Linked DNA regions of Bombyx mori. The protein of the gene in region 1 interacts with the protein of each later gene in a pairwise test. Links are inferred from orthologs where the notes say so. Each region holds a gene or a part of one and is shown in the gene's direction. Other genes may lie near its edges.

Region 1 (2,835 bases):
GTTTTGTTTAGTTTTATATTAGGGGTGGAGTAATCTAGGGAAAAATACTAGCGGCTTCCGTTTTTAATCGCGAAGCCCTAATTTTCCAGTATTGAGAATAAGAGCTCATGTCTTGATGTTCACGGTAATGATGTTCACTTTAAGATGTCTATAGGCTTTTTTATCCAATTAACAACTAGTGGCCCGTGAGCTCGATCACGTATCTTTGCAATAAATATTACTAAACATAAAAAAAATTATAAGAAATAATCTTTAGATCACATTAGGTGAACGACATTGCACTCATAGATTCAAGTGTCATTACAGAAAAATAATGCTTATGGATAAGTTTTCTAATGTGTCCATGTATATGGGACATGTTTATTAAATGCAAATATAATCTATCGTATAAAAAGCAACGACTTGATTCGATATTGCCGAGATTCAACTAATTATGTAGTAACAACTATTTATATTGAATTTTTGTTGTGTAAACTAAAAGTGCAGTAAAGGAATTAAAATTACTTTTATAGTTTAAATTAAGTGTTTTTATAATTTTATCACGTATGACTCTTTAATAGTCCTTGACCACGAAAGATGTAATAAAAATATCCAGAACGTCTAACGACTACGACCACGGCAGCTTAAAACTGAATTAACGGTTGTCTATTTTACTATTTATAGCAAAAATATAATTAGGTACTATTTTTATATTATGAAAGATCAAGTGAGGCTATACCCATATATCATGGAAAGATAAGTGTGAGGCAAGTACGAAGTGTCGCAATGTTCCAAAGCCATTACAGTCTAGACTGTAGACATGTTGAAAGACTTGATTTCTAACTAAATTATCGACATCCATCAAGGTTGAATGAAACATCTCAGGTTTGTAATGGTTTTAAATAATGAATTCTATTTTAATGTTAATTAAACTAAGATAAAAATGAACATGTGAGTGTCTTTGAAAGTAAACGACCACACAACTTCGTCGATCATAGACATGAAAACTGCTAAGGCATAGCTGCTTCCTGCAGAAAACTCTTCAAACGTTGTATAAAGGAAGACTGTACCATTTCCAGGATTTACACATATCTACAGATTCGTCCAAAGATCAATTTTTGTCGAGATTCTCGGTTACATCAACTAGAAATAAATACCTTATTATTTTTTTAATAATGGAACTAGAAACGAAACAGTCTTGAATTGAACTGGTGGTAGGACCTCATGTGAGTCCGCACCGGTAGGTACCACCATCCCGCCAATTTCTGCCCTGAAGCGGTGACGCGTTTCGGCTTAAAGGGTGGGGTAGCCGTTGTAACTATACTAAGACCTTACAACTTATATCTCAAGGTGGGTGGCGCATTTGCGTTGTAGATGACTATGGGCTCCAGTAACCACTTAACACCAGATGGGCTGTAAGCTCGTCCACCCAACTAAGCAACAAAAAAAAAGAACTTCTACTTTTTTTTAAGTTTGTGAATTGAAAGAATCGATCTTTGTATTGTTTTAGGTCCATCACCCGATCGTACTACCGGGGCGCGGCTGGCGCTCTGTTAGTTTACGACATCACCAGACGGGAGACTTTCAATCATCTCACAACGTGGCTCGAGGACGCGCGACAACATTCCAACTCGAATATGGTCATTATGCTTATCGGTAACAAGAGGTACGTAACATTGGTATGATAAAGGTGAACGTAAATAAATATATATTTATAGTTTAAAAATTGCTAGCAAATTCAATTGTCTAAAGAAAAGAAAAAAATTAGGCAATTTCTGGTGTGCATTTATGGTAGTAGTCGGTATGTTTAGATTATTTTGAACTGTTCTCCTAATTCTTTAAAGTTGTTATAGTCTGTTCATGTTGAATTTCGATTACAATGAAGATTTCCACGTGCAACCTAACTCATACACACAACTCACCGAGTTTCTCGTCAAATTTTCTCACTGGGTCGTGATTCAACGAAGCATTGCTCTGGCTAGGGCTAGTGTTAGCAATTCTCTCAGGATGAGCCCGTGGGCTGACCTGACCTGCCCGTCCGAGCGTACTTACAGTAGGCGCCCGAGTTCACGTCTATCCTAAAGAATGCGGTAGTGCTGTGACCTAGTTAATTATGGTAATGTCGATAATAACTACCGATTTAGTCAACAGCTGTAAATTTGCTTTAATGTAACTTGAGGTAAAAATGTGATAAGTCCTAATTACTTGTTTATTTCTAACAGAGAAAAATATTTTTTAAATTCCGATTCAATCACTATCAAATGAAAGGACAACCGATAGATTACAGTCGGAATCAGTATGTATATTTTTTTAGTAGTTGTTTTTTCTATCTGAACTTGTTGGAAGCGGAGTAGTCATGGTTAAATAACACAATAGCGTTAGCGTAAATTATCGATATCGATAAGCGCGCGTCACAACCGTCAAGGACAACACTCGACGTCAGACAAATGCGGGGTGGTGGGCGAAGGTGGGGCGAGCTGTCCACTGCGCGTCGCCTCGTGCCCCGATGGACATGAACTCGCGCGCATACAGTAGAATGGCCCTCTAGTTTTGGCGCTATCACATTTCTAATTCACATTTTAAACTAATTTCAACAGCAAAGCAAACACGCAGTTAGGCTTGAAGGGATTGAGATTCGGATCTCGTACCGATTTCAGCAATTAAAATATACAACTACCCTATTTAGTTAAATTACCTACTCGTTTGAATAATTGAATATTTATAACTTTCTTGAGATTGTACGATTTTAAACATATTTAACTACACAACTAGGTACTAAACTAAACGACGGATTGTTTTTCAGCGATCTCGAATCCCGACGTGAAGTGAAGAAGGAAGAAGGCGAAGCGTTCGCTC
Region 2 (3,525 bases), on another chromosome or scaffold:
ATAGTTACATTCTGCATACCATTTTATTACATTTTTCAGGTGTCAGATGGAAAACCAAAAGAACTATTTCCCACAAGTAGTTCTAAATCATTAGAGCCAACTATTTCTAAGTACACAGAGACATCTTTCCTAGTAGGACGTGACCAAACATCGGTTCTTATAGAGGAGTCTAATAAAAATGTCGATATAAAGAAAACTATTAAATGGAAGGAGGCGCCTCTTGCTGTGGGTAAGTTTGTCTGTTTATTGTTCTATTAGATATCTGTATCTCATCAACTAAGCATACGCCTGTCTCAAAGCTCTAAACATAACCTTTCCTCCGACTTTAACATTAAATCTCTGACTAATAATCGGCGCTGCCCACCGATGTACTTATTGAAAATATCGCCCATTTCTGCCGAGACTTTATGAGTCCTTACTTCAATACAACTGAGATTTGCACCTAACAGCTAACTTAGGTATTTTATGTTTGTGCGACCCATCCAATTGGAATCTACGTTATTGCTGTGACTTATGAACATCGTCTTTCCCGATGCTGCGGACTGAATGGTAAACAGTCGACGTCGCCCAAAACACGTAATTTTTATCCCCCGATCTGCTAACGGTGTTTTCATGTACATCAAGTACCGATTATTCCTCTCGTCGAACCTGTTGCCTGCGACGAAGGGCTCGGAAGAGAATGCCCATGGCATTAAGTCCGCCTGTGTACAAGTTTTGTTTTGTGCATAAAGTATAAATAAATAAAATAAATAAATAAATTAAACCACAGACACAGTCCACTGAGTTTCTCGCCGGATCTTCTCAGTGGGTCGCGTTTCCGAACCAGTAGTAGATTCTGCAAAACACTGCTCTTGCTAGGGTTAGTGTTAGCAACGTCGTCAGGTTTGAGCCCCGTGAAATCACCTACTAATTCGGTGAATCTAGAATAACCCCTTGAGGTTACTAGAATAGGTAGGAAAAAAGTAACAGCAGGTAGGTACTGGATTTATCTGTCCATGTACGTTAATAAGAATCTGTTCGGCGTTTGAAAAGAGCTCAAGTCATTGCATTGTACATGAGCTCACGATTTAGTCCGTATTAACTGGTTATATTGCCAAACATTACAGCGTGAATTCCGCAAGTCTTAGACATATGTATATAGGTCTAAGTGTCTCTCATAACGCCCAACCGTTGTCCCACCCTACCAACTGGAAAGTACTATTGCGACATATTAGAGACAAGTTAGACGGTACCCTAATGTGGGCTTATAAAACATCAATACCGATAATGGCTGTTGACCGCAGTATGTTGCTACGGTATTCAGAGAACACTGCTATCCATTCTCTGGTGAATCTGATTGCTTTTTACGACTTAATAAAATACAATCACTTTTAGTGTGGGATCAGCCGTTTGTACTGGGTCTATTGCAAGATCAAGTTGTTGTGCAGACTGTGGAGCCAGCGTTTTATATACAATCATTGTCCGAATTGAATAAAGCAAGACTGATGTACAGGTAAAATGTAAATATATCTATATCTTTATATATTTAAATCGATGAAGACTTCTTGCGTCTTTTCATAGTCGAACCCTGTTGCATCCACCGTTTCCAATGGGTTTTAAACTATTATTCGTGCGAATATAGTTACATTGGTGTCATGTGAATTCTATTACCAACAATAAATTTTATTTAAATTCAAAAATAAGATATTCAATTTGAAATAATTTTCGCTGGTTCCTTGCATCCGTTCATGATGGAAATAATGTGTCACATTGTATATTTCTGTATTTGTTCCATACATTTAATCAGTTTTTCGACATCCATCCAAATGTATGGATATATCGGTTCCGTATACTGTCCTGTATTTATTCTATGCATTCCACTAATTACATGACTACTTGCTATATTTGAGATGATATAGGTACCGAATATTTTTTCTGTATGTACTCCATAAATTGTTTTGAGGTTGCTGCTTCCTCCTAAAGTTATAGTAATATCGATACCGTATACTTTTTGGAGTGCTGCCGTCTTCGATTAATGTAATAAATAATAGATCCCAATGAACCAATCCCAAGAACCATCTCCTTTTATGAAGTCAATAAAAATAAAATTTATGTAGCTTTGGGTTTGGATGCCGGCTTTTTTTCCTATTCGCCGGTAGCCTAGGAGACTATTTCAGTTATTACCTTACGAGTAGGTGAGCTCATGGCTTCAAACCTGAGAAAATTTGCTAACACCAGCCCTAACAAGAGTTGTGCTTCGCTGAATCTATCACCGGAACGAAATTGCGACCCACCGAGATGACAATGGTTTATCGATAGCGAACACACTCTTCAAACAACGTCCACGCAGGCTTGTTGCTGCACTTGAACTTCACCAGCTGCTCAATACTGAAATCAAATTGACTATATACTTATAAAATCAAGGTGGAGTGGTGGAGCCGACTACGGATCTGATCCTTGTCTCTAAATTCCAACTTAAACTTCAGGTTGCAAGAAAAATTAATGAATGCGAAATAATTGCTCCTCATGACACCCACATCTTTTTTGTATCTTTCGAAAAGAGTTGGAAAGAAATGAAAATTGAACGGCATGATCAACTGACGGCTGAAGAATTTTGGAATAGAACAAAAGCAATGATTTGAGAAGCAGTGAAAACATTTAAACCTACCAAATCTGAAACCAAAAACATCAGCACTGGATGAGTGATGAAGCTTTACCATTGGTGGAAGAGAGACGACACAAAAAAGCACAGGAAGTTGAAGTGCAAATACTGAACAAACTGGTGCTAACATTCAAACAGCCTGTAGGAGGGATAAAAATAACTTTCTGAGAGAGATCTGCTCGAAAGCTGAAGCGCATGTTGAAAAACACGAAACAAGAGATGTACCGGAAAATTAGTGTAATCCCCAAAACTTGTGTCAGACCTGGGCTGTTGAGAAATCGGATGGATGTGTAGTAACAGAGTTAGAAGACTTTCAGACCGATGGAAAGAATATTGCCAAGCTCTCTTCTTTGACCCCGACTGCAAAATTTTACCCCCAACGACATCAGATATCCAAGAATGCGAATCAGAAATACTGAAATAAGAAGTTCGTCATGCCATCAAACATCTTAAAACTGGAAAAGCAGTAGGAAGTGATAACATCCCAATCTAGACAGTTAAAGATTTTAGCCAGAGTGGTGTCGAAATCTTCCACGCAATTCGTACAAGATATGGAAATCTGGCACCTGGCTTACAGAATGGACGCACTCCCTTTTTATTCCTTTGCATAAGAAAGGTTCGACAAGGAAGTGTAGCAATTATCGTCTTATTGCCCTGATATCAATCACACTGCAGCAAAATTCTACATATTCTTAATGAACGTTTAAAAAGCTGTTCAGCAACACAAATAGTACCAGAACAAGCTGGCTTTGTAAAGGAAGGGAACCAGAGAACCGATCTTGATTGTGCGACAAATAATAGAGAAGCCGAGAGAGTTCAACATGCAAACGTTCATTTGCTTAGTTGACTTTCAAAAAGCATTTGACTCTGTTAAATGGCCGCAT

Evidence for each region. The genes of interacting proteins can lie anywhere in the genome.
Region 2: the proteins of GTP-binding protein RAB2 (region 1) and vam6/Vps39-like protein interact in a two-hybrid assay, tested with the Drosophila melanogaster proteins (2 studies listed by BioGRID). The link is inferred for Bombyx mori from reciprocal best matches to the Drosophila melanogaster genes Rab2 and Vps39.

What each region holds. Positions count from the first base shown.
Region 1 is NC_085125.1:6,237,473-6,240,307, reverse strand, and holds part of GTP-binding protein RAB2, read left to right. Parts: intron 1-1,489; coding exon 1,490-1,645; intron 1,646-2,782; coding exon 2,783-2,835. UniProt on the Drosophila melanogaster protein: May be involved in bidirectional endoplasmic reticulum (ER) to Golgi trafficking. Together with Rab7 involved in promoting fusion of autophagosomes and endosomes with lysosomes, probably through recruitment of the HOPS tethering complex.
Region 2 is NC_085124.1:8,478,522-8,482,046, reverse strand, and holds part of vam6/Vps39-like protein, read left to right. Parts: intron 1-39; coding exon 40-229; intron 230-1,374; coding exon 1,375-1,492; intron 1,493-3,525. UniProt on the Drosophila melanogaster protein: Part of the homotypic fusion and vacuole protein sorting (HOPS) tethering complex involved in endo-lysosomal vesicle trafficking and lysosome biogenesis.